Arabidopsis thaliana: one gene and its partners. The protein of the gene in region 1 purifies or fractionates together with the protein of each later gene. This does not show direct contact. Each region holds a gene or a part of one and is shown on either strand. Other genes may lie near its edges. The genes, in order: SRT2, ATP3, AT5G19760 and MPPBETA.

Region 1 (7,481 bases):
AACTTTATTTTGTAATTTAAACCAATGCCCCTTGGCTCTCATAATTCATTATTTCTAGTAATGTGTTTCCTCATCTCTTAGTTTTATATTTCGTTACTGTTTTGCTTTGTTAAGTTTCTGCATTTAGTCAGGTTTATAGAATTGCATATCTTAGGGTTTTATAATAGGCAATTCTGCTTATTGAGACTGTTTATGGACTTGTAAGTATGAGCGGAGATGGTGCAGAGTGTTTGCTTTTGTACAACAACGTTTTGTTTATTTTGGTGCTATTGCTCCTTCATGTCTTTCTCTAGAGACAGCTATATTAGTTTATCTCTACATAACTAATCATGTTGACAAGATTATCTCTATGTTTGTTATACGTTGCAGGTATCTCTCTAAGCGTGGATCAGGTACTCACATCTCTTTCTATCTCTCTCCACTGTTTTATGTCTCCTAGAAGTGTTTCTGTTTTCTTGTTATTTGCTTATTACACAGCTTTTCCTTAATGCAGTGGAACACTCTTCGGAACCACGCAGAGGATATCGAGAAGGCCCTCTCTGACCTTTCTTAGGTTTTAAAACTTGTATCATTGGTTGTACGTCTATTAGAATATGGCTCAGTTGTTTTGGTTGTTTTTGTAGAACAACACCATGTTCTGCTAGTGTAAGCTGCTTCAAATTAGTTGGTGTATGGAATCTTTCACTTTTGGTTCAGACAAGCTTTGGTTGGTATTAAGAATATAATGATTGCTCTTTTATTTACTGCTGTAGTGCTGTTTTATTTGCAAATTAAGATACGTTGCAGGAATACAAGTATTCATTTGATAAGTTATAAACAAGATAGGTCTAAATGTTACATAGCTCTTGCCAAACTTCACTTGATCCGGACAAGGCCATAAGCAGACATTGTCTTTGAAGATGAACCCATCACAATAAATGTATCACTCTGTGTTGCTACTTTCATTGCTATAGTTGCTCTTTTCCAAAGAATATTTACCTTCCCAAAAAACTCCCCCGTTTTAAGTTTGGCCGCGCGTGTTCTCAAACTGTGCGCTTGTAAAATGGCGTTCCGAATCTGATATCACAGTTGTAATTCGGTGAACGCAGTAGATATATTACGCGAGAAAAGGAGAGAGGTGCTTTTTATTTAACTTGAGAATCTCAAGAGTCAATTTTTGCAGTAGAAGAGTGTTTTTTTTAGAGGTTAAGAAAATGTCTGAGAACGGAAAAAGGAAAGACGAGGATGTCAGAGCATCAGACGACCGCGACGAATCTGAGACCCACGCGCCGCCTAAGAAAGTGGCAAAGCCAGCGGACGAGATTGAGGACATCTTCATCTGCAATGTTAGTCTCTCTACTATTCATCTCTTTTTTGTCTGTAGCAGTTCGTATGAGTTTTAGGGTTTGGATCAAGTTGTGATATTTGTTTATGATGTTATGTTTTGTTTACATTCCAGTTAGATAAGAATCGGAGAGTCTTTGTGAGGAATTGCAATGGGAGGATTTGGATTGCCATTCGTCAGTTCTTTGTCAAGGACGGTATAACTTTACCTTGTAATAGCAAGCAAGGTAAATTTTTGTTTTTAACTACATATCTTCTTTTGACTGTCTCTCTTCTTCTCACAATTCCACATTTGCTAATACTCTGTATCCTCCTCTCTTTTCTTTTTTATGGTCAACAATGTATCCTCATCCCTTTGTTTTCATGTTTTGTTTCGTTAAGGTTCTGCATTTAGTTAGCAGATCTTAGGGACTTTTATTATATATCTAGTACTTCTGCGGTTTGGGACTGAGAGGAGGAGATGCGCAGAGTGTTTTCTTTTCATCAACAACGTCTTGGTTTTTGTCTCCTAGGGCCAGCTATATTAGTTTGCTTTCTTTGCATAATCATGTTGACAAGATTTTCGATGTCTCCTATATGTTGCAGGTATCTCTCTAAGCCTGGAACAGGTATTCACATCTCTCTTCCATTGTTTATGTCTTCCACACGTGCATATGTCCTGCTTATTACACGAGACCTTTTTCTTAATGCAGTGGAACGATCTTCGGAACCATGAGGAGGATATCGATAAGGCCCTCTCTGAGCTTTCTGAGGTTTAAAAGCTTGTGTAATCGGGTATTGGAAGGTGGCTTTGGTTGTTTTGGTTTGTTTTTCAGAACAACACCATGTTCTGCAAGTGTTAGCTGCTTCGAGTTAGTTCATGTGTTGAATCTATTATTTGATGTTGATTACTCTTTTATTTGATGTTGGATTTACAACTTGAGATACGTTGCAGGAATACAAGCATTCATTTTGATTAGTTATAAATAATATATATAGGTGATCTAAATGATAACATAGCTCTTGCCAAAGTTTACTTAAATGATCCGGACATTGTGCTAGAGAGCTGGGACACTGAGCGATCCCACGTCAAGAACTCTGTGCAATATCTGCAGCAAACCAATCACGAAATGACAAATTATTAAGGCTGACAATCATGAAATAATATGGATATTTAAGGCATTTTCAAGGCTGAAGGAAAGGGAAGAGCTTTATGCTATGCTCATACCTCACCAACCCTAGCATTGATTTTCAATGGAACAATGTCATCAGCTCTTGTTTCGCCTATATTTACAATTGCGGTCATAGCACCAGCCTCATGAGCCGCTCTGCAAAAGGTATATAGAAAGCTTCTTAGTAAGATGCAAACTCAAAACTGGATGATTATTCTCCTGCATCACCTGCAAAGGCGAAAAGCAGACATTGTCATTAAGGATGAACCCAACACGAGGAATGCATCGCTCTGTTTTGCAACTTCCATTGCTTGAGTAGCTCTTTCCTTCGGGATGTTGTCTCCAAAGAAAATTACCTTCAATTCAACGAGAACATAATAAGAAACAGAGCTAAACTGATTCGTCTCTATCTGATTAAGTCAATCTTACATCAGGCTTTAGGACTCCTTTGCACTTCTCACATACTGGTATATGAAAACCCTCTTCCCAAAACTTTTCGTCAATCTCGATATCACCATCAGGCCTTTGTTTCATGCCAAAGCTCTTCTCTGATCCTGGATCTCCATGATCAATACTTTCTATAGCTTCAGCCCACTACAGTTGAAACAAAAACGTTGTAACTTTGCGAGATGATACATTAATCCAGTTTATTCAGGTTATGGTATACACTGGCCTTAGGATTGATTGCTTTTAGCTGATCCTGAAACAAGTCTCGGGGAAAAGAGAAGCCGCACTCTAAGCACATAACAGTATATACTGTGCCATGTAATTCAAGTGGATCGCTCCCAGCACGATGATGCAACCTAACAACTTAGAGCTTAGAGTCAACATTCTTCACATCCAACAGAGATCCTACGGAAGAGGAACTGAAGGATATACCTGTCAACATTTTGTGTGATCATAAAATTTATTCGTCCAGCTTTTTCTAGTGATGCTAAAGCAGTATGAGCTGGTCCTGGTTGTGCTGCAGTGAACCTCCTCCATCCAGCGTAACTCCTCGCCCAATACCGCCTACGAGCTCGGCTTGATCGAGTAAACTCCTGTGAAGGAGGTTGTAGACAATAGATTAATACAGTTATACAATAGTAAAATGATCCAAGGTTTGCATTAAGAACTGTAAAGATTTCATAGATCTTGCCTTCAGATCACCTGATGGGTAATTGGTTTGAAACCAGAACTGTATGCTCCATTGGGACTGCACCAAATCATCAAATGGAACCACATGTAACCCATGAGACCATCAAAACGAGAATGCAAGGCATCTTCAGACAAGACTAATCGATCAAATGAATTACCTTCTGTAATCCGGAATTCCACATTCTGTGCTAACCCCAGCTCCAGTCAAGATGGTGAGTCTCGAGCTGCCAAAAGAGAAGAGGAAAGCCATTAGATACAACACATGTATGCTCACTGCTGGAAAAAGATGGTGAAGGAAATATCAACCTTTGCTCAAAAAGTCGATACAACTTGTGGATATCTTCCATATTGGGGGGATCAGCATCTGGAACAATCTTTCTATCCCTCAGAAACCTTGGAGGTGCTTTTGATTCATTCCCCAAAGAACCACCAGGGATCGAAACGCGACACGTTGTTCTCACAAACCGTCTGCATCCTTTAAACAACATAACCAAGTTTCCCCCAGACTGCAGCGGCCGGTACATACTTCGCGACGGAAACAAATCTAGAAGAAGGAAAAGAAGAAAAACTCAGCAACATTATTAACTCATTGCATTTGCATAGGTAAGTAATGAATCAAAACAAGCTAGGACACAAAGATGAGGAAGAACATTCATTATTCTCATACTTGCCTGTAGATACACCTCCAAACACTCTTCTCATGTTCATAGAAAGCCTAATAAATCGCAGAGATGAATCTATGATCACAATTTCACTAGCAAAAAAAAGTAATGGAGAAATGAATCTATGATAAGCCAATTACATTCAATGAAGAAGATCTAGCTAGAAAGTATCGTACTACTGAGATCAAAATAAAGCCACCAATCGAGTTTTTCACCGAGAAGCTAACAGATTGAAATTAATACCCAAGAGCATATATAGTAATAAGATTACCTTGAGAGGTCGTTAATGGCGGATGAAACGAGATTTCTTCAGTTTTGCGTTTTATTTTTTTCCAGAATTTTTTGTTGTTGTTGAAGACAAGGTGGCAAAAATCGGACGTCTGAAACTCATTATTGGCTAAGCAAGTAGCCACGTAGCGCAATTATCCACCGTTGAATAGTTCACTAATGCAAACGACGTCGTTATTGGAATAAAACAGAAACCGCATACGTCGATTTTGTTCTCTCTCTGCGGACGAAGCTCTCTCTCTTTAGCTTCGATCTCTCCCTCGCTTCGATCTCTCTCTCGACTGCTACTCCTGGTTAGTTCTCTGTCAAATATTCGTTCATGTGACTCTCGTCGATTTTTGTCTTGATGCAACTTCATCGCTTTGTTCTTCGCTATTCGTTGTTATTGTTGATTCCGCATATGCTTCCTTTGATTTCAGCTTGTAGGTTTGTCCAAATTTCACTTGCTCTGTTCTTATTGTTGTTGCCAACCAAGTGTTTGATGAAATGCCTCACAGAATCAGTGGTTGTTTTTTTTTTGGTAGAGCTTGTAATCACTTGTGCTTTGTTTATTTTTGGATATGTATGCTGCTTGGAGCCACATTAGATTATTCTTGATTCATTGTTTTTATGAACTCTAGTAGTGTTTTTTAACTGATTCTTAATACCTCTATTATCTTGTGTATGAGAAACAAGTTTATTAACTCGATTCTGTACTTTATTGTTCTTTATGATTCCAAAGATTACTTTTGTTTATATCATTCGATTATTTTCTACTTAATGATGTTTTTCAATTTTCTCTACTACAGGAATGTACATTTGTTGATGGAAGTTTCTTCAGAATTGATTTCAAAATCTCTGGTAAGTCACTTGAAGCAAACTGCAATAATAATGTTGAATGGAAACGTTTACTAGGAAAGGCTTTTACTTTGAATTTGATTATGTTTTGAGAAGATAATAGGATTCAACTGAATCAGTATAGTTAATGGTAGTAGTAATTGAGATATATGGACTAAATAATTACAGAGCTGAAGATTCTTGACTTGGAACAAATATGCCTCACAGAACAAGGCCGTTGAAGGGACTCTTGCTTTTCACTGGAATAAACTTTGTGTTGGTGCAGACCATTACTCCAGTCTATGACTTTGTCTGCTTCTTGCCTTACTGGGAGAGAAGGGTATGTTTTAGATTTTAAACTCTCAAGACTATAATATCAATTTCTGTTTTCGTTATTGTTCCAATGTCTCCAAGTGTGTACTTTAACTTGGAGACAAATACAATGATCACTTCCTGTTTTCATTATGTTTCTGTATCTCCCAAGTGTGTAGATTAACTCATCTGGTTCATGATCATGGTAACTAATTCTGATGCTTTGCTAGGGCAATTTAGCTTACATTTCTTTAAGGGCTCGAACCTCTTTTGTTCTGTGGTTAAATAGGTAGCTATATTGGTTCTCTTCTCGCTTAGATTTTAGATACAAACTAGTTATATTACTAAATACTGAGACTGTTAGCTAACTATTCAGATGATGGAGTCTGTTGTTTCTCAGAAAAATGTCATACAAGTTGCTTGGAGCTAACTATCTTGGCACAGTAGGTTATTTGCATAGGTAGCATGACGTATGCTCTCAGTTTCGACATTGTAAACTAACAAATTGGATCATGTTGCATTACCAAGCACGAAATAACTCTACTGTTATTTTTATTTTTTTCCCTCCGTTTCCTGGCGTCTTGTGTCATTACTGACTAACTTTAGTTTTGTTTGTTTCTCTGTTGTTACATTGAATCTCTACAGAGAGAGCGAATCCGGCAGGAGCGTGAAGCCGCAGCTGCATCCTTAAACTCAACACAAAAAGCTACTCAAGCATCTGTTGGATGATGAACTCTTCTCTACATCTTCTCAGTCTCTTAAATCAGAATTCCTCTTTGTAAGAAACTAGTTACCCTCTGATTACTGAATATCTGAGAAGGCATGTTCACATTTCTGCTCTGAGCTTAGATTCATTGTAGCAAATCTTGAAAGTTTCTGTGGATTTTTCAAACACGTGTTATTAATCGTAGATACTTTCAAAGATTCTGATCATTGCCAAGATCCATGAACCCTACATGTTTTTGATAAGTGAGATAGACTATTAGAAAAAGGAACAACATTATATTATTTTCTTGAAATAGGCTTTTTTGGGTGGACAGCTAAATTATACTTATTTGAGGAGATTCTCTTTCATGCTAAACCATCCAAATTGCTCCTTTATAAATCAAATCATTGAAATGTCAGTGTCTCACTTTGATTCAAATTCCATTTTACCATCACCATGTATATGTCGACACCTAACTCATTCATAATAATCACTTGAACAAGAAACAACCAACACTACAAAGTACAAACTACTATAATTTGATATAGAATTGAAAACACACGGTTTTATAATTTATAACATAAGTTTTAAATTTTATTACAAAGATGAGACCATACGAAATGAGAACAACATACAATATACACATTTTTGGAGTTTTCTTTGAAATGGTAAACTTTACACACCAACTCTCTCTGTTGTTCATGGTCCATAATCATCAATATGTAGACTTGAATGGCTTATAGACCTTAAGATCAAGCATCACTCCGGCGATTGATCCAACCCCGGCGACCACCGAGATCACAAGACAAGCAACACTAAGCATCTGTAAACACACCCATCTCGTGCTCCATTTCTCAACCTTCCTCTGCTTAATATACATCTCCACCGGAAAATAAACCGTCAAGGGCCAAAACCCTAACGCCCCTAAGATCCCGACCACGTCGTTAAAAAACGGCATCAGCATCGATATCACGGTGGTTGTAACGACAAAGCCACTCCTGTAAACCATCCTGAAAACGTTTACTTTGTAAGGAGACTTAAATCCGGGGATTCTGATTTCAAATTCCTTGCTGAGGAAGTCATTGT
Region 2 (7,658 bases), on another chromosome or scaffold:
TAGGGGTTAAGCAACTCTGGATTGATATTTTAGGGTCATTGATAGCTCTCTGTTTGTATTGTGCATACTTTCTTTCTCTGTTATCTGAGAATATTAGTTCAAAGTGTAAGAAGATTGTTATATTTAGTAAGCCCTCTCATGATATTTTTTTTTTTTTAATTCACATCAAACTGATTTGTTTCATCAGTTGTAAGTGGTAACATTTACTTTTAGAAAAAAGAGATCTCGTCAATGTATGGTCTGAGATTGATCTTATACTCTTATGTTCACTTCATCTAGTTTGTCTTAACAGGAAGTTGAAACAGCGGGCTTTCGTGCATTACAAATCATCGGCTCGGGTTACTTGAAGAATCAGAGAAGAACCGAAGCAGTATGTCATAAGCGCCTCTATCTCAACAATCTACCATGACATTATCATCCAATAGAGAGATCGTAATTAAGGGAACCAAGAGTTACAGAAACTAGTCAACTTCTTTCTTACATCAGGTAACAACAACATATCCACATACTATTATTTTCATATCACTTCTTCTTCTACAGTATCCTTATTATTAAAACTGTCCCATCTTGAATCCAGATTCATAAACAATCTAACTGGATCTACTTGCTTGCCCTTAGCTGGACCAAGTATCTTGACAAACCACTTCGGCTTGAATGAAGCAATAACGTGTGCCATTACCAATCCAAGTAACAGTCCAGGCCAATACCCGAAAAACACTGCTTTCCACTCAATCACTTCGTCCTCTTCTTCTTCTTCGTCTTCTTCCTTGGGATATTTTGTTGGTGGCGCAACGCAACTTCCTTGGAGAGGAAGACCACAGAGACCTACATTCCCTTCAAATGATGATTCAGCTTGCCCACTAAACTGTGGTCCCTGTGGTATTTCACCTTTGAGTTGGTTATGAGCTACACTTATGTACGCCAGAAATGAGAGGCTCCCGAGTTCTCTTGGAATATTCCCTGATAGTTGATTTCTTGACAGGTCTAGTGACTCGAGCTCCGTAACATTTGCCAAAGACATAGGAATATGGCCAGTGAAGGCGTTGTTCGATAAGTTGAGCGCTATCAATTCCTTCAACAGACCAATAGACTCAGGAATCTGTCCTTCAAGTTTGTTTCCAGAGAAATCAATGGTGCTGTAGAAAGTAAGGACTTTCCCCTGCTCCATGAATAGACCTTTGTATTGCAAATCCATTGTATCTTCATAGATATAATAAGCATTCTTGTAGTCTCCCATATAAATACGCCCATCTTCATTTATCTTGGGTGATGATGCTTTCCAGTTAACAAAGAAATTTGGTGGCAAGCTTCCAGTAAAGCTGTTATCTGACAATTCAAGTATCCGCAGCTCGGGAAACGCGAGAGGACCTCGATCAGGAGGAGAGAGATGGCCGAAGAATCTGTTTGAACGGAGAGTCAAGACATGCAAATTGGGTAGCGCCTTCAGCCAGAAAGGAAACGTGTCTTCAATTCTGTTGTTGTCAACACTCAGAAACCTCAGAGAGGAGCAATTCAAAAGTGATTTTGGAAGCTTCCCGGTTAGTCGATTATAGCCAACGTCAAGCGTCTGTGTCTTAGCACCGCTATGGAACTCGTCAGGTATACTTCCTTCCAAGCTGTTCTTCCTGAGGTTTACTACTTTTAAGTTACTCAGACATTGAGGAATTGGACCGGTGAATTTGTTGTAGGATAGATCAAGGACGATGAGAGAGCTTCGGTTGCAGATTGAGAGAGGTATGTTCCCTGTGAAACTATTGTTCCACGCAGACAAGTAGATCGAACCGAGTGGTGGAGTAGGAAACGCTCCTGTCATGGAGTTATAGGCAAAATCTAGTAACTGCACTGATGAGTTAAGTAAAACTTCTGAAGAACCTTCGAAACCAGTCAAAGAATTGTTAACAAGATTTGCTATGCTAAGACGAGGAAGCTTCCAAAACCACTCAGGTACTTTCCCTTTGATTAGATTGTTGGAAATGTCTATATGCTCCAAGTTTTGAAGGGTCTTAAAGATGTTTGGAAACTCGATAATGTCGCACTGGATCAAAATCAAGCTTATTAAGCTCAATGGAAACTCTGAATCTGAACTTAAACTGGCTGGTAATAACCTATTTTGACGAATATCAAAGACCAACAAAGATTTGAGAGGAGCGAAGACGCGTAAGTCAATTGGGTGACTTATGTTTAGGGAAGCAAGTTCAAGATGGTTGAGGTTTATGAGCTTTGAGATAGGCTCTATGATTTTTCCTTCAAATTGGTTAAACCCAAGGGACAAACGAACTAGCTTAGATGAAGAAGAAGAGTTTGGGACATCAATAGAACCAGTGAGATGATTCTTTTTCAGATCAAGATAAGACAAGAAAGGCAAAGTGGGTAGTAAATCAAAAGGTATGGCTCCTGAGAATTGATTGTAAGAAAGGTCTAAAAAGGAAAGCTTTGTTAGGTTTCTTACAGGTGGGAAACTACCAGTGAGCTCATTATGGGAAAGGTTTAAATGGGTAAGCAAGATAAGGTTACTAATTGAGGAAGGAACTTGACCAGTAAAGCTACTAGAGGCAAGAGACAAAACCTCTAATCTGGTGAGATTGCTGAATTCAGAAGGGAGTGAAGAGGAAGTGAAGTTGTTGTGAGAGAGATTAAGGTAACGAAGCTGATGCAACTCAAAGAGACTACTGTTTGGTTTGAGAGTTCCAGTGAAGCAACCACTTGGGAGCTGAAGCTTCGTGACCGCACCAGTCGTGTTATCACACTGGACTCCGTTTAAGTAGTCACTGCGGTTGCAGCCGTCAGATTCAAACTCATTCTTGAATTGGATTAGAGCTTGGATCTGGTCAGGAAGACAAGCAAGAGCGTCGGTCGTCAAGAAGCTTGAAACGAAGACGATACAGTAGAGTAAGAGTAGCGAGCAAAAATGCAAACGCATGGTGTTTGTGATTGAACCAACAAGTTGAGGAAATTATTGAACCCAAAAAAAGACATATCAAAGATTTGCTATATATATGTTATTTTAAGCCGCCTTTACTAAATATGTGGGGTTTAAATGTCACGTGAAATGTCTACGAGTCACATTTGTTCATGAAGTAAATTCCACGTGGACATCTCTGACTATATAACTGGGAGTTATAGTTGACTGTTAAAATTGGCTTCAAAATTTAGCAACAAGAGGAAATCAACACTCAGCAATTTACTCTCATTGGATCAAATGAACGCACATTAATATGACGTAACGATGATGACAATTCTGTTTAATAGTATCTTATTGTTTACAGATACAGAAAAATAAATTAAGTGGGCCTTTCAATAATTAATAGGTTGGTGAAATGTTACCTTCTCTTGATATTTTTTTAATTTTCATTTATTATGAGTATGTTGCGTTATGAAACAACTCGCATTAATTTGGTTATAGATTGGAGAAAGAAGAAGTCATGGTCAAAACTCAAAAATGTAAAAGGAAACAAGACGTGTATGACGACGTGATTGATAATCTGAGGAGATACCTTTGGGCCTTATAAGATGGGCCGAAAAAGTAATAGTATTAGCCTCTATTCGGCCCGATTAATTTCAGGGGAAATTTTGGTAATAAAGTGGAAACGACGTCGTGACAAAACTACTGTGTAGACTGAGAAATAAAGAAGCCCTTGATTTTGCCCATTGCAGTCATCTCTCTCGAATCTCTCTCTATAATCCGATCTGAGAAATTTCGCCGGAGCTAGGTTTTGTTGTTTACCGATCAATCCTTTAATCAATGGCAATGGCTGTTTTCCGTCGCGAAGGGAGGCGTCTCCTCCCTTCAATCGCCGCTCGCCCAATCGCTGCTATCCGATCTCCTCTCTCTTCTGACCAGTGAGATCTCTTTCTCATTCATCTTATCCTTGCGTATAAACACACATTTCGCTGTTCCTCTGTGATGCTTTTCTGAATTTGAAATCGTTTGATTTAATTGAGTCGTTGATGTTTTCATTTCCTTGAAATTCGAATCGACGAAAATTTATGGAAATTGTGTTGTTTGACTCGGGAGCTGCTAATGAGTGAGGTGTTTTTGTTCGTCTATTTGGAGTTTTGAGACTCGGAAATGTCCTGTTAAGCTCGTTTCGTTGAATTTCCTATTGCAAGACCAATTTGATTTTCCTCGTAGAAGAGACTTTGTGATATGTTGTCTAAGCTCGTCAGATTTAATCAGCTTTTACCTGCAAAACTTTGTGATATTTAGGATGATGAGGACTAAACTTGTATTTGATTTGTAGGGAGGAAGGACTTCTTGGAGTTCGATCTATCTCAACTCAAGTGGGTAAGTCAAAGCTGATAATTGGAGATTGGTTTTACCTAGTTAGGATTGTGTTCTAAGAAATCTGTGATGTTCTAATCTTTATGAATTGCTTTACATGTATTCTCTGTGCAGTGCGTAACCGCATGAAGAGTGTTAAGAACATCCAAAAGATCACAAAGGCAATGAAGATGGTTGCTGCTTCCAAGCTTAGAGCAGTTCAAGGCCGAGCTGAGAACTCCCGTGGACTTTGGCAGCCATTTACTGCACTTCTAGGAGATAATCCCAGTATGGTTGGCTATATAGAGTTGTTTTTCTTAATAACTTTGTTCTAGTATCACTCCGGGCTTGCATCGGTATTGAATATTGATGACGACGAACAAATCTGTTGCTCTTACTATAGTCTGAGATATCCATCCTCTTGCTATCTCTTGTTGTTATTGTGGATGTGTTTCTGATTTCTAGCGTTACTTGATGGAAAAACCAGGCATTGATGTAAAGAAGAGTGTGGTGGTCACTCTCTCTTCTGACAAGGGTCTCTGTGGTGGAATCAACTCCACTGTCGTTAAAGTGAGCAGGGCTCTGTACAAATTGAATGCTGGTATGTTTGAAAACACTACGATGGTTCCGTGGTTTAGTTTTCCTGAATTGCATATCCGATATTAATTCTTATATCATTGCAGGTCCTGAAAAGGAAGTTCAGTTTGTTATTGTCGGAGAGAAAGCAAAGGCTATAATGTTTCGTGACTCAAAGAACGACATTGTCCTCTCTGTAACAGAGCTGAATAAGAACCCACTCAATTATGCTCAGGTAGTTCTTAGTTGCTAATAGTTAGGAGCAATAGTTTCTCTCCCCGATCCATTTGTTCTCGAGCTATTTATTGTTGTCTATAGTGTTTCTTATGTTTACTTGCTGCTTCAGGTGTCAGTTCTAGCTGATGACATCCTGAAGAACGTTGAATTTGATGCTTTGCGCATTGTCTACAACAAGTTCCATTCAGTTGTCGCATTTCTGCCAACTGTGTCCACTGTTTTGTCACCTGAGGTAAGTCATAACTGTTGAACGTCTCAATTTGTGCTTAATATTTCACATTCTGCTTTAAGTATAAACTTGATTGTATATGTGTGTGTTTTGCATTGAAAGATTATTGAGAAGGAGTCTGAAATTGGAGGAAAACTTGGCGAGCTTGACTCATATGAGATTGAAGGTGGGGAAACAAAGGGAGAAATATTGCAGAATCTGGCCGAGTTCCAATTCTCTTGTGTAAGTAACCAAGAAAGTTTAACTTGATTTATGGTATTTCAGCATAGAAAGAAACATAACATTTTGGTTGTTTACGTAAATTCTACTAGGTGATGTTCAATGCGGTTCTGGAGAATGCATGTAGTGAGATGGGAGCAAGAATGTCTGCCATGGACAGCTCAAGCAGAAACGCAGGAGAAATGCTCGACCGTCTCACCCTCACATACAACAGGACTCGTCAAGCTTCTATTACAACAGAGCTTATTGAGATTATCTCTGGAGCTTCTGCTCTTGAAGCTGCTAAATAAGCCCATCCGTGTTAGTTCTCTTTTCTTCGCTTTGATATTTACCCCCACCTTGAAGGAGAAGAGTGTGTTAAAATTTTACTGAATCAGTTTCCTTTGCTGGCTTCTTGTTGAGACCTACCAATGTTTGCTCAACGATTTTTAATAAACATACCTGTAATTTCCAGCAGGATTTCGAATAATTGCATTAACATTTTGTTCTGATTCAGACTCGCTTCCTCCAGAGTCTGTAGTGTTGTTTTGTGCAAACACCATGTACTCCGGTTTATTTGATATTTTTTTACCTGAGCCAATATTTTGTCACTTCGCCAGGTTTTGAAGTTTGAAACTTTGAATAATCCCACAAACAAATCTAAACAATATATCCAATGCAGTGTATGTTGTCATGCTAGTGGATTTCTAGAATTTTGGAATTATGTATAAACAATCTGATGTTAGAAAGTTTAAACTGATGTGAATCCAATCATGTGAAACAAATTTTATGGCTCAATATCTCCTCTTGATCGAGGTCCACTAGGGTATCCAGAGCTGCGGATATTTGAGATATCTGGTAATAAATTTACCGGAGGCTTGCCACCAAATTATTATGAGAATTGGAAAGCATCATCACTCACGCTAAAATCAAGAAGGGGGTTTATATATGATATACACTAAGAATGCTTACGGTAGCATTTCTTATACCTATCAAGATTTTATAGATTTAAGATACAAAGGTCTACACATGGAGCAAAAGAGGATTCTTACTTTATACAGCGCTATTGATTTTTCCGGAAACAGACTTGAAGGACAGATTCCTGAATCCATTGGTCTCTTGAAGGCACTGATTGCACTCAACTTATCAAACAACGCTTTCATAGGTAATATTCCCATGTCTATGGCCAATCTTATTGAGCTTGAATCATTAGACATGTCTAGAAACGGACTATCTGGGACTATTCCTCAAGGACTCAAGACCCTCTCGTTTTTGGGGTACATAAATGTGTCCCATAACCAACTCAAGGGTGAAATACCACAAGGAACACAAATCACTGGGCCACCAAAATCCTCATTTGAAGGGAATGCAGGGCTTTGTGGTCTTCCTCTCGAAGAAAGTTGCTTCGGAACGAAAGTGCCACCAATACAACAGTCAAAGAAAGAAGACAACCAAGAGGATGCAAAAGTGTTGAACTGGAAAGCAGTGGCAACAGGGTATGGACCTGGAGTTTTTTTTGGATTGGCAATAGCGCAAATCATTGCTTCATACAAACCGGAGTGGCTCGTCAAGATAATTGGTCCTAATAAGCGTAGAAACCATTAAGATTTGTTAGTGTTTGATTTTTGAATGTATGTCAAATTGTTACTTGTTTTGCGTATGATATTTGAATGTTTGTCAAGTATTCCTTGGTCTTGTGGTGAAGCAGGTTCTCTATGCTTCATTCAGCTTTCCTCTGTATCTTGGAAGAGAAAAATACTAGAGGCCGGGAACGGGAATCACGTTATGGATTTTTTGGTCTCTGACAATAAAAAGTAGAAAATCCAAACTCTTGTTATTGTTATCCCACAGGAGGAAATCCGTTCTTGTTATTTTCATCATTGGATTCTATTTCCGTGTAAAAGTAACTTTTTCCCCTAAAAACAAGCTTCTCTATTTTGTAAACAAAAAAATAAAGAAACAGAGGAAGGAGACGAGAGGGAGAAACAGAGCAACATATGAGATCTGTTTCCTAATGAATAAAATGCATGAGAGAGAGGGACCGAGACTGAGACTGAAGTGTGGCGGTGAGATCATACGGAGCGTAAAAAAAAAACAAGAAAAAGATAGATGTTCCCTTTTCTGTGTTTTCTTGGATCCCAAGTAAATTTTTGATTT
Region 3 (7,721 bases), 3.8 Mb from region 1:
AATTAACATAATATTTATTAAAACGCAAAAATACAGAATTTTTGTTTTCTTCATAGAAAATAAAAATAAAAATTCATTATGTAAATACATATTATATGTATATTTAATTTTAGACACATATATTTGTTTGTTTTATTATGCAATTTTTCATTCTACAAATTTATAGTTTTGCAAATTTTTATTCTCCTACTTATGTCATTAAAAGGATTATACGGGGTTATCTCAGAACTTGTGATTTCAAATCTTGAAAACACGTTTTACGTAGTCAATATTTATGTAAGTTAATTAATAAATAAATGCACTAAGAGAATCAAAATCTTATAACAAAGACAACCTTACATGACGTTTCTTTTCTGTTTGGCGCTTACAAAAACATCCTACTATAACCAATAGTTATTTAAACCACTAAACCCTAATTTAACCTATAATATCGATTTAGGTCGGTTAAGCTATTATTTACCTCACTCATACTAACGAAATACCTAAATTCCGGTAAGTTATTTAAACCGGATAAAAATCGACACCTTCCAGATCTAGATCCAGATCGAATCTCACGTATTTTGTCTATGCCCAGTCCCAAAGGCAGGCTGTCACAACTTGGCGGACCCCAACCAATTATCAAATCTCATTCAATAAATAATCAATTTCCCACAAAAATCATGGAAATTAGGAAAAAAAGAAGATCTCGCTCACCGCTCTCATTTCCTCAATTCTCCGTCCGTCGAAGAAGCGAATCGCTCGAAATTAGGGTTTCTACTGAGAGAAGATGCGAGAAATCATAAGCATTCACATCGGACAAGCTGGGATCCAGGTCGGAAATTCGTGTTGGGAGCTTTACTGTCTCGAACATGGAATCCAGCCGGACGGAATGATGCCGAGGTATAAACCCTAATTCACTCTTTGTACTCTGTTTCTGTGGATCGGAAGATTTTTGAGATACGAGTCTTTTGCGTTGTTGCAGTGATACTACAGTTGGTGTTGCACACGATGCGTTCAATACTTTCTTTAGCGAGACTGGTGCTGGGAAGCATGTCCCTAGGGCTGTCTTCGTTGATCTCGAGCCTACCGTTATCGACGAAGTTCGTACTGGTACTTACCGTCAACTTTTCCATCCAGAGCAGCTCATTTCTGGGAAAGAAGATGCTGCTAACAACTTCGCTAGAGGACATTACACTGGTGAGAATCCACTTTCTGCTTGTTCTAACTTGTTAGGGTTTTTGAAATGGTCCTTAGAATGCTTCTTGTAATTGCAGTTGGGAAGGAAATTGTGGATCTATGTCTTGACCGTGTGAGGAAACTTGCCGACAACTGTACTGGCTTACAAGGGTTTTTGGTGTTCAATGCTGTTGGTGGTGGAACTGGTTCTGGATTGGGTTCTCTGTTGCTAGAGCGTTTGTCTGTAGATTATGGAAAGAAGTCTAAGCTTGGTTTTACCATATACCCTTCTCCTCAGGTACTCTTTCTTTTGCTAGACACTGAAGTAGAAACTCTTACATGACATGTTTCTATAGTGGTCTAATTTGGATGAAACTTGGTTTTAATGCATATTCCTCTGTGATGTCAGGTTTCTACTGCTGTTGTAGAACCTTACAACAGTGTTCTCTCAACGCATTCCCTTCTTGAACATACGGATGTAGCTGTCCTCTTGGATAACGAAGCCATCTATGACATTTGCCGCAGATCCCTAGATATCGAGAGGCCAACCTACACAAACTTGAACAGGTTGATATCACAGATCATTTCATCCTTGACAACATCTTTGAGGTTTGATGGTGCCATCAACGTGGATATCACTGAGTTCCAGACCAATCTTGTCCCATATCCCCGTATCCATTTCATGCTGTCATCTTATGCACCAGTCATCTCAGCCGCCAAGGCTTACCACGAGCAGCTATCAGTCCCTGAGATCACCAATGCCGTTTTTGAGCCAGCTAGCATGATGGCAAAGTGTGACCCGAGACACGGAAAGTACATGGCCTGTTGTTTGATGTACCGAGGAGATGTTGTTCCCAAAGATGTTAATGCTGCTGTTGGCACCATCAAGACAAAGAGGACTGTTCAGTTTGTTGACTGGTATGATCTAGAAATGGATAAAGCTGCTACTGTTTCTACCTTCATGTTGTTATTATATAATAACTCCTTTGGCATGGGTTTTGTTTTGCAGGTGCCCAACTGGGTTCAAATGTGGAATCAACTACCAACCTCCAACAGTTGTTCCAGGTGGTGACCTCGCTAAGGTTCAGAGAGCTGTATGTATGATCAGTAACAACACAGCAGTTGCAGAGGTGTTCTCACGGATCGACCACAAGTTTGATCTCATGTATGCGAAGAGGGCATTTGTCCACTGGTACGTTGGTGAAGGAATGGAGGAAGGTGAATTCTCTGAGGCACGTGAAGACTTGGCCGCACTGGAGAAAGATTACGAAGAAGTTGGTGCTGAAGGTGGAGACGATGAAGAAGATGAAGGTGAAGACTATTGACACCTTTTCTCAAAAAAACTGCAACCAAAAAAAGTTTTTTCGTTTATCTGTTTTCACTTTTGATTCTGTTGATTGTTTAAATCCTGTAAAATATTCGTTCGGTCTTCGTGTTTTATCTCGGTTGGATACATTTTCATTGGTAGAGCGACCATTGCGAGTTCCCGAGTTCATTATCAAGCTTTTGTTGTACCAAACTTTGATAATCTTCTTACAACTGTCCATTTTTCCTTGAAGTATAATCTCGTCTATCGGTGCGCTAACGTTTATCAACGTTCTGTATATGCTTTGTTGTCGTATCAGCTAATAATACATTTATGAGATTCAACTAATGTTAACAAACCACGTTGATCTTCACAAAAGGGCATCAGAATTATCAAATTGCATCAGAAATACTGCTCCACTGGTCCACTATCTAAAATACGGCGTGAAAAATGCCAAAAATTATTGAACAAATACAAAATACAAATACAGAAGATCAATTTTTTTAAAAAATTAGAATTTATTGGACCCAAAAAATTCAGAATACTAACGATTTTCAACTTCATACTAGAAAATTAGAAATGGACGAATGTCAAATCTAAAATTCATATGAATGCGTAATAAATAACTCTAAATATTTGGATTGCGTAAAATCCGAATGGTGAAAAGTAAAGTCCAAATTAATAAATTTAGAAAATATGTCTGGCTTAGATCAGATCTCATATGCAAATGGAAAAAAATAAAAATTAAAAAGGCAAGGGTTTGGTGCAATTTAGTTTCAGTTGGGTGGTGTTAATATAAAAGGCCCATAAGCTTCACACTTCATCGTCTCCTCTCCACCAAGTGAATCTCTTTCTCTCTCTCTTTTTCTCCGCGGAAGGAATCTCTTCTTCTGGTTGCGTTTGAGTCCGTACGAAAACAAAAGAAAAGAGAGAGATGGCGGAAGAGAAGAAAGCTCCAATCAGTGTCTGGACTACCGTGAAGCCCTTCGTCAATGGCGGTGCCTCTGGTATGCTCGCTACTTGCGTTATCCAGCCGATCGACATGATTAAGGTCTGTCAAATGTTTACGGATACACGTTTCTGTATCACCCATCTCTATGTCTAAGCTCGTTAGTATTAACAATTCTTGCTTGATTTGCTGGTATTGATACCTACGAAATCCGTAAATGTTGTTCATCAGATCCGAGTCTGTAGATTTTATCTCTCAGATCTGAGTTTTTGTTTTGGCTTATTATAATCAAATTTCATTGCTCGGAACATAGTCAGACTCGTTTGAGTGTGAATTGTTGCTATTGATACATGTTTAGATGAAATGTTCTAGTTCAGATCTGGATTTTGATTAGAATAACGTTCTTAGGTTCATCACAATGTGTGATTCTTCGCCTGTGTTCATAGGATTTTTAAATGATGTGAATGTAATTAACTAATACTTTGTTTTGTTTCTGGTTGGTGAAGGTGAGGATTCAACTTGGTCAGGGATCTGCAGCCAGTATAACCACCAACATGCTTAAGAATGAGGGCGTTGGTGCCTTCTACAAGGTATAAATTGCATTTCTGGATGCATTACTTATCTTGAAGATGTACGTTTTGTGTAGTATGTTTTCTATTGATATGTTCATGACTTTTGTTGATTTGTAATGTATATGATTTCTGCATTTCCGGATCTGAGTCTCAGCTATTCAAAGAATTAATTTCCTTATCTAACAGTCTTTCCAACAACAACATTAGTTATACCCCATTGAAGATGTCTCCTGAGCTTATTTGATGTTAATTTTTTTTAATAGGGATTATCTGCTGGGTTGCTGAGGCAAGCAACTTACACGACAGCCCGTCTTGGATCATTCAAGTAAGTTAGTCATTCGTCTTTCGTCTTGAGCCCATCCAGATGAATAGATTTTTATTGCCTTATGGTTATGGATAAATCATCCTCTCTTCTGTCAATCTTATTAGGTTGCTGACTGCAAAGGCAATTGAGTCTAATGATGGAAAGCCTCTACCGCTGTATCAGAAGGCACTATGTGGTCTGACAGCTGGTGCTATTGGTGCTTGCGTCGGTAGTCCAGCCGATCTAGCACTTATCAGAATGCAGGCCGATAATACTTTGCCGCTAGCTCAGCGCAGGAATTATACCAATGCTTTCCATGCGCTTACCCGTATTAGCGCTGATGAGGGAGTTTTAGCACTTTGGAAAGGGTGTGGGCCCACTGTGGTCAGAGCTATGGCTTTGAACATGGGAATGCTTGCATCTTATGATCAAAGTGCTGAATACATGAGAGATAATCTTGGTTTCGGGGAGATGTCTACGGTCGTAGGTAAGCTGCTCTTCCAAGTTTCTCATACAGTAAGAATATATTTTTTCTGTGAGCAGGTAGATAGCAGTTAGAGTCAAGGATCCTAAGAATCAATCGTCTTGGAAATTTACATTTGTAGCATATAATCTCCTGATTACACGAGTGTTAGATTGTCATAAATTAAATGTGTATTTCACTTAATACAATCTATCCAAGAACTACACCAAGGAAAATACTTTATTAATGAGAGGACTCTCTAAACTCTCAACCGTTGCCCAAACCCAGATCTAAGACCAATCCAGAATGGATCCCATTGCGTTGTCCTTACTCCCTTTTAAGAGCTACTAATTGTAAGGTCGCTCAGTTGGCAAAACTACACTTTTCTCAACTTCCTAGGCTTGTTACACTAGTTCTGCACTAGACTTAACAAGAAACCTTTATCAGTATTTTCATATGGTCATGTAATCTCTGTATGATAAATTGTAGTTAAAATAGATCTCTGAGTTTGGTTTTTGTTTACTTTAACAGGAGCAAGTGCTGTTTCTGGGTTCTGCGCTGCGGCTTGCAGTCTGCCATTTGACTTTGTCAAAACTCAGATTCAGAAAATGCAACCGGATGCTCAAGGAAAGTATCCATACACAGGTTCGCTCGATTGTGCGATGAAAACCTTAAAAGAAGGAGGACCTCTGAAATTTTACTCGGGTTTCCCAGTTTACTGTGTCAGGATTGCCCCTCACGTCATGGTATAATAGCTCTTATCTCCCTTTTTTGTTTATGTTATTGTAATTACCACTTCGTGATTGCCTCTAAGATAGTTGTTGATCGGGTTTTCTTTTGGCAGATGACATGGATCTTCCTAAACCAGATTACGAAATTTCAAAAGAAGATTGGTATGTGAGGAACAAATACAGCAGCAAAAAAATAAGATGAGAAGAACGAAAACACAATTGGAATTGTGTTCATTTGCTTTTTAATCATATACATAACCTGCCTTAAAAGCATATTATTGTAGCTGTTTGAACTTTAATTTTTTGTTTCGGTCGGTGATTGGTCCGGTGAATTTTAAATTTTCTTCTTTGGTGGAAGTTTAAGACACATAGCCAGAGATTTCAAAATTTTCATACGAACTAAAAAAATTCTCTGAATGAGGAAACAATAAATATATGAAACATTGATGATGGGGAAATATTTGAAGTGCTTGAAGAAAAGCTTGTTTCAACTCTAAGAAAATGTCAAGTGCAGGGTTCCCAAATAATTGTTTCGAAACACCAAACATTTGCATCAGCAGACAAGACCGTTTCCCCAAAACTCTGCCGATAACAATCCAGCAACCACCTCTAGGCTCCAGGTAAGAAACATGTCTACTTTGCAACAACTTCTTTGTGAGCTTTGAATGATAAAATCACATTCCAAGCCAAAGCCACTACGTTTGAAGCAAGTACCTGCAATAATTCATATATAAGACATCGATTCATCCTCAAAGCCAAAGAAAATCTTGCTAAGCATACTAGCTAGAAGCTAATGTCATTCAAGCGTAATTCATCTCAAGCTCATCATGTCAAAGATGTTTTTAACAAGGGCTCAAAAACATGAAAATGCGTAATAAATTCTCAAAGATTATACTAAGCAGAGGATTAACAGCGTGTGGGTCGTTATTCGTTATGTATGAAGCATATCTATCTTAACCCAATTGTATTTTTTTTCAGACTCCCGTTTCATGTAGTCACAGAGTTTAGTATCAAACCTGGTAGTTCTGTGGAACAAATCTGAAGTTAAGAAACTGAAATGGTATCCATAGCTGCCAATTTGCTATCATTGCACCAGTCCACTCCTATACAACCAGCAATTCATGGATTCAATTAGAACACCGCAAAAGATACAAAGTATCAAATTTAGATTCCTGCACCGGAAATATTAAGTTTAGTTAGGTTTTAATCCAACCTGTTGTAGCTTCGGTATGACATTTGATGGTTTTCCTTCAAGTGTCACAACTGCTGATAAGAAAACTCCAACAAAAATAGGAGCAAAAACAAACTGCAAATACAAATTTTGGTGTTAAGTGCTAACACAGAGGAAGCAAGATGGGAACATAATTGTTAGACTGGGAACAGGAAACTTTGCTACCTGATCCAGTAGAAGTCGTATAACTGCGCCTGATAATCCAGAAGCTGTCACCACTTTGCTCAAATACAAATACCTAATGGATGGAGTTGAGAGATTTCAGAGAACAGAGAATAAGCATAAGTAATATACCAATGGATGCATAAGTCTCTTCAACTGAAGAACCACTAGCAGAGACGTAATATAGTTAGCTTTTGCGGTGTCATACGAGTGAAAGGTCCACGGAAATACCAGAAATGCAATGTTGGACCGACTAGCCCTAAGCCCAAGAAGGTAAAGGTGAGTGTCCTCTTCTTGTCCAGCGATGAGGTCTTGTTGATAGTAAGCTGCAACCAAAAGTGATACGAATAAGCAATGTCGCTCACATATCTAGCAGAATACGATCAAGCATTATAAAGAAAATGGGGCTTTACTACATTATCCTGTATTTTGGGTCTATTAGCTTCCATTCTAACTTTAAAAAAGAGATAGCACAATTCAAGTTAAAGTCTGTCTGTTCAGAAATACATAATGCAGCAGCTCATGAATACTGTTTTATCTCGATATATCCTGAATAGTGAAGAATCCAAACTTCAAAGATAGCACAAAAATGAGAGAGTTACCTGACAGATCAAATCTCCAACGAGGTTCAAAAGTGCTGCGGTCACAGCTTTGGTCAAAACAGGAGAGTTTGAGAGAAGAGCCTGGTACCTGAAGCACCATAGAAAAAGGCACACAAAGTGTGTTTATGCTCAAGTCAAAAGCAAAGAATCATACTAGAAAAAAAGTGTTCCGTGAGTAAATTATTAACACATCCAAGAAAAATTTCCAACATCTGCTTCAATGAATTGCTTTTCAAAGAAACATCT
Region 4 (8,164 bases), on another chromosome or scaffold:
GTGCTTATGAGAAATAGCCAGTAATTTTCCTTTCTTTTCTAACAAAATTTCCTTTGCATCTCCCTTTGTGCAGTTTGCAGCAAAGATATGCTTGCTGACATCCTTTAGAGACACTTGTTTCATTGAAATTATACCTCAATACCAAGCACCTAAGGGTGGTGAGACTACAAAAAAAAAGTTTCCTTTCACTTTCGCATATCGCTTTTTGATATGAAGTGACATCTGACAAATACAGTTTTACAAGTTGTGACTCTTTATGTTTGCTATTGTGCAGTGTTATGGTTAAGTTTCTGGTCAGAGGTGCATTATAACTCTTTATACGATATTCAAGGTTTGTTTTGTCCTTTGGAAATGTAACGAAATGGTGGCTTTGTGCTTGATGACACTGATTATGATCTTCCTTTTTGAGTGTAGCTGCTCCAGTTCAGCATAAGCCAAAGAGAAAACATTGGTTGTTCTAGAAGGCACGCCACCATACATGTATTATATTAAGACCCTTCAACTATTTTTCAGTCAGTTTGTGATAAGTCTACCGTCTCATACGCGAAAACTCTTCCTTTACACCTCTGTATACTACTTACGAACTCGCTTGAGCTGTAACATTTTAAAGCCGAATATGATATAGTCGGACCGAGACAAAGAAAATATGACAGTTTCCATAACCTTAGTGGAGAATCTCTTGAATTTGATGGGCCCTTTTTAAAGCTTATCAGAAGCAATAAGGGAAGTTTTTGGTTGGTATGAAACCTGGATTTCCATGAATTATCCAGTCCAAAATCATATTATCCATATAAGATTCAGTTTTGTCCTTTTGTCCTTCGAAATTTCTTCTTGTGCATTTGAAAGATGAACTGTTTATCTCCCGCAGACCATGTCGTTATACGAACTACAACACTGTCTACTTTCATGTTAGTATCATGATTCATGAGAGTTTTGGATGGACTACTTCAAAGTCCAATGTACGTTGGGACTGGCTACATCTTCCGCCGAGAGCAACAGAGAGCATCATTGCTAGTTTGGAATAAGAAAGGTCGAGGCTATCTCTAAGGAAACCAAAAGCTAGCTATGATATTGAAGAAAGATGACATCTCTTTGCCTATGAATGGAGAGAATACAACAAAGAATATAATGTGATGAAGATATCTAATCTTTGCTTCTCTTCTCTCAAAGAAATTTCGGTTAAAAGTGAAGCATAAAAGTGAGATTAGTGGCACTAAAGAAGGATGAAATTAGCAATTTAGGGATGAAGAAACCATATCCTATTATCCTTAAATCGGACGAACACAAAAATACGGTTGAAGACATAAGTTTCAATGTCCAAAGCCATCGCCAAAAAGATAAATTTTTGAACATTATGAGCGCAAGTCTTGAGAATGAAATGGTAACAATTCTTAAAAGTAAAGATAAACACTAAAAGCACAATGGCCTCAAAAGTAGAAGAAGAACAAAAAAGAACATTAAGATCTTCAAGGTTCAACTGCAATACGGCCAGCAACCTGGTCCAAATCCCTTTGGCCACTGGAAGTGATCCTTCTTCCTCTGAAAGAAGAACAAAAGTGATACTAGTATTAGCATAAAAACATTTTTAAAGAGAAACACCTCTAACGTAGTAGTAGTAGTAGTAGTAGTAGTAGTAATGTTACCCTTTGGTGTCGAGCTCAACAATGTTCATTGTCTCCAGCTGTTGGAGGATGTGACGGGCAATACCACCACTGCTTTTGCAAAAGTGAGGTGGGCGACTACCGTTCCTCTTGCTTCCACCATAGATTCTACGGAAAGCACCAACACCAAGTCCTCCCCTCAGGTAAACCTTCCTTGCCATAGATGCTGCACAAGAAGTCATTTTGCTAATTGAAAACTTTATAAACGCATAGAGATAATAAGAGACAAACTAGGATGAAAGAGAACTAACCAGCTCTGATGTAGTACCAATCAGGATCATATGGTGCAAGCTCCTTCAACTTTCCGGTCTTCACAATGTCTGTCCATGTGGGAAGCTCGATCTGAAACAAACAATTATGGTCTCGTGAAAACCAAAACAATTGTAAAAAGTGGAGCTTGACATTCAAGCTATTGTAATTGCTAGTGTAAATTAATTCAACAGACGTAACAAAGCAAATCACAATATTAATCCCAAGCATTTGAATCTTAAGCTGTCTATTAACAAATACTAAGAGTAACACTTGTGATTCAATAAATATTAGCAACATATACAAAATTTCAATACATTCAACAGACATTACACAATTCAAAGTATTATAGAGAAATGCCAACAATCAACAGAAATATCTATGAACTAATGGAAATCATTGCAATTTGAGCTTAATCCATCTTTATTCGAGTACATACAAATAAAGCTTGGAACATTTCTACTCAAACAAAAAAGAAGAGACTTTATCCACTAACCTTGCCAGATCGCTTGAGATGAGAAGCATAAGCCTTGACGAAGTCATGAGGCGAGACGTCTTTCACAGTTTTACCAGTTGCCATGGCTCAAGTTATCAAAAGACTAATCACTGATCTTCGTCTGGGATTTTGCCCAACGCAGCTGAATCTCTCTCCGCAAAGACTAGGGTTTTTATTCTCCAATAACAAAACTTATATATACGGCCACGATATTTCGATTAGGGTTTTCTCCCCATATCCGGGTCAAAAAATCCAACCCGTTCTCAGCCCACACTAATGGGCCTAATTCTTCATACGGCCTTACTATCTAACCAGTATGAATAATGTTCTTTGATACGATAATGCGCCTACTACGGCCTTATTATATCAGTTGACTAGTATTATGTCCTAAACGACACCGTTCTTAATTAGTAACATTAAATGACGTCGTTTTATAATCGCTTAACCACTGGCTATTAGTTCGCATCTCAAGTCGTCTCTGCCATTTTTGGCTTTTTAATCAAACCCTAGAGAGATTGAGAGAGCGAAGAGAAGCCATCATCAGCCATGGCGATGAAGAATCTACTGTCCCTAGCTCGCCGATCTCAGAGGCGTTTATTCCTCACTCAAGCCACACGATCTTCCTCTTCGTTTTCAGCTATCGATTCGGTGCCGGCTTCCGCATCTCCGACGGCTCTATCTCCACCGCCGCCGCATCTTATGCCATACGACCACGCGGCTGAGATTATAAAAAATAAGATCAAGAAGCTCGAGAATCCTGATAAGAGGTTCCTTAAATACGCATCTCCACATCCGATCCTCGCTTCCCACAATCACATCTTGTCAGCTCCGGAGACTCGTGTCACTACCTTGCCCAATGGTCTACGAGTCGCTACTGAGTCAAATCTCTCGGCTAAGACCGCCACCGTTGGAGTCTGGATCGACGCTGGATCTCGGTTTGAGTCCGATGAGACCAACGGAACGGCTCATTTTTTGGAGCATATGATATTCAAAGGCACGGATAGGCGTACAGTGAGAGCGTTGGAGGAAGAGATCGAAGATATTGGTGGTCACCTGAACGCGTATACATCGAGGGAACAGACCACTTATTATGCTAAGGTTTTGGATTCCAATGTGAACCAGGCTTTGGATGTCTTGGCTGATATCCTACAGAATTCTAAGTTCGAGGAACAGAGAATTAACCGCGAACGAGATGTCATCCTCAGGGAAATGCAAGAGGTATGTATTTGTTATCTCTGTACTTAAAAAACTAAACTTTTTGTTCTGTCCTCGATTTATCTTTCGTTTTTTTTTAGTGAGGTGGTACTATGGACCGTAGTTTGTGTTTTTTTAGATCAATACCCTTAGTTTCAGTTTCCCGTGTGCCTGCCTAAAAATGAAAACTTTAGTATGTTCTTAAGTTATCTTCCCTTTTTTTAAGGTTGTATTGGCATAAGCACATGTTCTATAGAGAGATGTTATTGTGTTTATATAAACCATTGCTCTAAAAATGAAAACTTTGTTCTGTTTTTGGATTATCTCTCGCATGTTTTGGTTTTATTGGCTTAGTCATATGTTGGTCGTATTGTTGTTGGGAAATGTGCATGAAGGGAGATACTAGAGCGCTTGGTACTCTGCTCTACGTGTTGGTTAGAGTTATTTGTTTCTTTAATCAGTTAAAGATAGAATACACATTAAGCTTTAGTTTTTTGATAATTGGTTTGGTCGTAGGTGGAGGGACAAACCGATGAAGTGGTTCTTGACCATTTACATGCCACTGCATTCCAATACACACCCCTTGGAAGAACTATTTTGGGACCTGCTCAGAACGTCAAATCGATCACCAGAGAGGATCTACAGAACTACATTAAGACTCACTACACTGCTTCCAGGATGGTATAGATTTTGGTTACTTCTTATCATTTCCTACAATCACTTATTGAATTTTTTAGGATTCTTATCTTGGTTCATCCAAAACATTTTCAGGTGATTGCTGCTGCAGGAGCTGTTAAGCATGAGGAAGTTGTTGAGCAAGTGAAGAAGCTATTTACCAAGTTGTCGTCTGATCCAACAACTACTTCTCAACTGGTTGCCAATGAACCTGCTAGTTTTACTGGTTCTGAGGTAAGGACACAACCATATGATTTTGTTATATGCAATGTTCCATCTTTCTAAATTCTTTAGTCCGTGAAATTCTTCTCAGGTCCGAATGATTGATGACGACCTACCCCTTGCACAATTTGCTGTTGCCTTTGAGGGAGCATCTTGGACTGATCCAGATTCCGTTGCTCTTATGGTTATGCAAACTATGTTGGGTTCGTGGAACAAAAATGTTGGTGGTGGAAAACACGTGGGGTGAGTTTACTCTCTGGCTAATATTTCTAATGATGGATTTAATGAAAAGCTATTTCGCAATGTGTTGATGAACATTATGGTTCTATGTGCAGTTCTGACCTGACCCAGAGGGTTGCCATTAATGAAATAGCAGAAAGCATAATGGCATTCAACACTAACTACAAGGATACTGGACTGTTCGGCGTTTATGCAGTTGCCAAGGTCAACCCAGAACTCCATAGCTATCTTAGTTTCATCTCTTTCTTGTATTTGTCAATATTAGCAGTTTCATCTCATGAATGCCTCGTATTATATCTCTTTTAACATCTTGTAAGGTACTTTTTTCAGGCCGATTGCTTGGATGATTTATCATATGCCATTATGTATGAGGTAACCAAGCTGGCCTACCGAGTTTCAGACGCTGATGTGACACGTGCACGAAATCAGGTAAACGCCCAACTGTTCTTTCTCTCTTTCCCAAGATTCAGCTTTAAGCTAGTTACAAATGTGATCTGTTTAAAGTTTTTTTTTTCTTTTCCTCCTGTTTCTTCGAACTCCTTACTTATTTGTAGATAGATTTTAAATGCCAACTGATTTTAAATTTCTCTGCAGCTGAAATCATCATTGTTACTTCACATGGATGGAACCAGCCCAATTGCTGAAGATATTGGTCGTCAGGTATGCGATGAATCATTTAAGCATCTTAATTTAGAACTTATAAGTTTATAAATGCATTGGTCAAAGATAACAAACCTTGACTTTCCTTATAGTTGGTGTTTATCTTCAAAATCATTCTAATAAAACGCCTGGATTTTTGTTCTAAATGCAGCTGCTGACCTATGGGCGTAGAATCCCAACCGCTGAACTCTTTGCTAGGATCGATGCTGTTGATGCCAGCACGGTAAAACGTGTTGCCAACAAATATATCTATGACAAAGTAAGTTCTATTTCTCTCTCCCTCTTGCTCTCTCTATCCTCCAAGGATTAGACTGCTAAACAAGAGTACAAACGTCAAGAGTGATTAAGGTGATTTTTGGGATTATGTGCAGGACATTGCAATCTCAGCTATTGGTCCAATCCAAGATTTGCCAGACTACAACAAATTCAGACGCAGAACCTACTGGAACCGGTACTAAGGCTCTGAAATAAAGGTCACTGAATCGCAAGGTTCGCCCACGGGGAGATTCCGTAGGCGGAGAGAGCAGAACGAGGTGATGATGGATTCATTATTTTTGAGTTTTTCTTACTGTATCTTCATAATTTACCATCATCGCTGGTAAAATAAGTGTACCATTTACTCTTTGTCCTCTACTGGAAAAATGCTAGAGATCCTCTGTGTGTGTTTTTTTTGTTCTCTTCATAATTTTCCCATACACATACTAATAAGTTCTTTGATGTTTGGTTGAAAACTTGAATTGGATACATTTCATTTCTTCTTGTGAAACTCTATCAATTCACTTGTGATTTGATCCAGTTGACAAATTTATTAAGATTCTCACAAGATATTCCATCTTTTGCAACACTTTTCATCACAATCTCTTTAACCTTCATAGCTCGTTCTTCATACTCTCCACCGTCTCTCATGATCTCATCGATCTTCTTCTTAACCTCTAACCTCGGAACCACTCCTCGTGCGTCTCTTTCAAGTCCTAATCCAATCTTCCACACATCGCATATATATGCTTTGTTGATAAATTGGTCTGCAAAATAAGGGATGCATAGAAATGGTATGCCATTTTGGGCTCCTTCCAGAGTTGAATTCCATCCACAATGGCTCACAAAACACCCAATGGCTCCAGAAGAAAGGACCTCCCGTTGTGGAGCCCATCTCACCACTTTGACTCGATCCGACCCAAGTTTGATTGGTTGTTGATCACCAGTGACCCACAAAACTGGCCTGGTGAATGGATCAACATAACTTATTACATAATAGACACGCATAGAGTAAGTAGGGTAAACCGGAACACACAAACCCGGTTATGTCCAAATCATTACCTCTTGGTAAGCTCTAGACCAATTGCTAGCTCTTCTAACTGAGGGTTGCCCATGACCCCAAAACTCCCAAAGGCAACATATATAACCGAACCGGGAATCTGCCGGTCCAACCAATCTAGACAATCCCGGTCATGAGGTAAAAAGCTTCCTAGTGACGTGGATCCCTCTTCAAGACTATGAGCCCAACCAATGGGCCCAATTGGTACTATATTCGGGCCCAATCCAAATGCTGCAGTTTCAAGTTCATGGACAGAGTTACACAACAACCAATCCGTTGACTCGATCGAGTTATTGTTTTGAAGCATAAGTTGGAATATGTTTTTCTGAGATTCTTTGTTCTTCAGACAAACCCACACAAACTTGTCTGTTTCCATCTTTGGCATCCCGGGAGATAGTTGAATTGTCTTATTTACTCTCACAGTCCCTACATAAAGAAACAATAGCTATATAACGCATCTTTTTCAAAATTCTTCTACCAATGAATCATCAAATAAAATAAAACATGACCATTTTCCAAAAACATCACTTAATATGATACTATTAAATTTTGAAACAAAAGGTTATATTTGTTCTTACCATCAGAATCTATGAGACCATCATCGATAAGTTTTTGAATACTAAATCCAAGAACCATAGACGCAGCTGCAGCAGGACAAAACGCGGTGCGTCTGATCCCAAACTTAGCTGCAACTTCAATTGCCCATCCCAAGCTCTGATCCGCTACAACGCAGCTAATGATCGTACCACCGCTAGTTTCTGCCATCATCCTCTCGATCAATTCCTCTACTTTTTTAGGCATAAAACGCAAAACAGACTCCGACAACTTCCCTGGAATGTTCCTCTCTTCTGGTGAATCTTCTAAACCGTCAGGGATTGAAACAAGATTGATCTGATCCCCAACATAATCTTCATGAGGTGAATTGGGTAAGGAACTGATGATGCGGTTATGGTTAAACTCGGTGTTTATGAATGTAATTTGGATTCCTTGTTTCGCAAGGTAACGTGAGAAACTTATTAGAGGAAGAACATGACCTTGTGCAGGGTAAGGTATGACCACAACATGTGGCCTTCCCATTCTTTTATTTGAGTTATTATCCATATGTATTTTGAGTTATTGTCTATATATACATAAAAATTCATTCATTTATAGGAAAATTTACAAGATTAAGACGGAATGACTCGACAACTAATTCTAATTGATTTTGTCGTTTTTCTTTAGGAATCAAGACAAGTTTGATCCCAAGTTTGACTTGTGTATAACAAGAGAGCAAATGAGCTTAGTTAATGACACACCAAACTAGCATTTTCTCATGTGAATATGGGAAACAAATTGATGAAGGCCTTCAGGACTTAGGAGAATGTAAACGTAAAACAATTATAGGCTAAATAATTAAATACTTGCTGTCATTAATAGACTAGATTTAATTAAATACCATCTCATAACCCAAAC

What was found.
Region 2: the proteins of SRT2 (region 1) and ATP3 purify together in Arabidopsis thaliana (affinity purification with mass spectrometry, with the first as the bait; one study listed by BioGRID). This does not show direct contact.
Region 3: the proteins of SRT2 (region 1) and AT5G19760 purify together in Arabidopsis thaliana (affinity purification with mass spectrometry, with the first as the bait; one study listed by BioGRID). This does not show direct contact.
Region 4: the proteins of SRT2 (region 1) and MPPBETA purify together in Arabidopsis thaliana (affinity purification with mass spectrometry, with the first as the bait; one study listed by BioGRID). This does not show direct contact.

Annotation. Positions count from the first base shown.
Region 1 is NC_003076.8:2,868,493-2,875,973, reverse strand, and holds SRT2 (sirtuin 2), read right to left. Parts: upstream 4,567-7,481; 5' UTR 4,416-4,566; coding exon 4,414-4,415; exon of another isoform or gene 4,327-4,413; coding exon 4,283-4,326; intron 4,156-4,282; coding exon 3,918-4,155; intron 3,836-3,917; coding exon 3,770-3,835; intron 3,670-3,769; coding exon 3,624-3,669; coding exon of another isoform or gene 3,613-3,623; intron 3,515-3,612; coding exon 3,354-3,514; intron 3,278-3,353; coding exon 3,148-3,277; intron 3,069-3,147; coding exon 2,904-3,068; intron 2,831-2,903; coding exon 2,703-2,830; coding exon of another isoform or gene 2,699-2,702; exon of another isoform or gene 2,631-2,698; coding exon 2,531-2,630; intron 2,412-2,530; coding exon 2,361-2,411; 3' UTR 2,195-2,360; downstream 1-2,194. Other genes in the region: KIWI (ssDNA-binding transcriptional regulator), read left to right, coding at 370-488; AT5G09240 (ssDNA-binding transcriptional regulator), read left to right, coding at 1,194-1,325, 1,439-1,550, 1,909-2,081; AT5G09225 (uncharacterized protein), read left to right, coding at 5,595-5,717, 6,335-6,418; AAP2 (amino acid permease 2), read right to left, coding at 7,111-7,481. UniProt on the Arabidopsis thaliana protein: NAD-dependent protein deacylase. Catalyzes the NAD-dependent hydrolysis of acyl groups from lysine residues.
Region 2 is NC_003071.7:14,017,132-14,024,789, reverse strand, and holds ATP3 (gamma subunit of Mt ATP synthase), read left to right. Parts: upstream 1-3,604; 5' UTR 3,605-3,742; coding exon 3,743-3,840; intron 3,841-4,241; coding exon 4,242-4,285; intron 4,286-4,396; coding exon 4,397-4,549; intron 4,550-4,748; coding exon 4,749-4,862; intron 4,863-4,944; coding exon 4,945-5,072; intron 5,073-5,183; coding exon 5,184-5,306; intron 5,307-5,405; coding exon 5,406-5,525; intron 5,526-5,614; coding exon 5,615-5,812; 3' UTR 5,813-6,180; downstream 6,181-7,658. Other genes in the region: RLP26 (receptor like protein 26), read right to left, coding at 518-2,920; RLP25 (receptor like protein 25), read left to right, coding at 6,450-7,106.
Region 3 is NC_003076.8:6,677,520-6,685,240, reverse strand, and holds AT5G19760 (Mitochondrial substrate carrier family protein), read left to right. Parts: upstream 1-3,186; 5' UTR 3,187-3,395; coding exon 3,396-3,512; intron 3,513-3,916; coding exon 3,917-4,000; intron 4,001-4,245; coding exon 4,246-4,307; intron 4,308-4,411; coding exon 4,412-4,773; intron 4,774-5,280; coding exon 5,281-5,495; intron 5,496-5,593; coding exon 5,594-5,650; 3' UTR 5,651-5,935; downstream 5,936-7,721. Other genes in the region: TUA3 (tubulin alpha-3), read left to right, coding at 767-879, 962-1,176, 1,254-1,453, 1,565-2,073, 2,165-2,480; AT5G19750 (Peroxisomal membrane 22 kDa (Mpv17/PMP22) family protein), read right to left, coding at 6,114-6,194, 6,497-6,583, 6,694-6,786, 6,877-6,949, 7,105-7,199, 7,476-7,563. UniProt on the Arabidopsis thaliana protein: Catalyzes the transport of dicarboxylates, such as oxoglutarate, oxaloacetate, malate, and succinate, and of tricarboxylates, such as citrate, isocitrate, cis-aconitate, and trans-aconitate by a counter-exchange mechanism across the inner mitochondrial membrane.
Region 4 is NC_003074.8:362,672-370,835, forward strand, and holds MPPBETA (Insulinase (Peptidase family M16) protein), read left to right. Parts: upstream 1-2,877; 5' UTR 2,878-2,952; coding exon 2,953-3,624; intron 3,625-4,116; coding exon 4,117-4,281; intron 4,282-4,371; coding exon 4,372-4,509; intron 4,510-4,588; coding exon 4,589-4,740; intron 4,741-4,832; coding exon 4,833-4,941; intron 4,942-5,067; coding exon 5,068-5,166; intron 5,167-5,331; coding exon 5,332-5,397; intron 5,398-5,548; coding exon 5,549-5,660; intron 5,661-5,768; coding exon 5,769-5,863; 3' UTR 5,864-6,168; downstream 6,169-8,164. Other genes in the region: AT3G02070 (Cysteine proteinases superfamily protein), read left to right, coding at 74-158, 275-331, 415-461; AT3G02080 (Ribosomal protein S19e family protein), read right to left, coding at 1,467-1,539, 1,644-1,827, 1,913-2,003, 2,407-2,490; AT3G02100 (UDP-Glycosyltransferase superfamily protein), read right to left, coding at 6,169-6,616, 6,715-7,138, 7,291-7,813. UniProt on the Arabidopsis thaliana protein: Catalytic subunit of the essential mitochondrial processing protease (MPP), which cleaves the mitochondrial sequence off newly imported precursors proteins. Preferentially, cleaves after an arginine at position P2.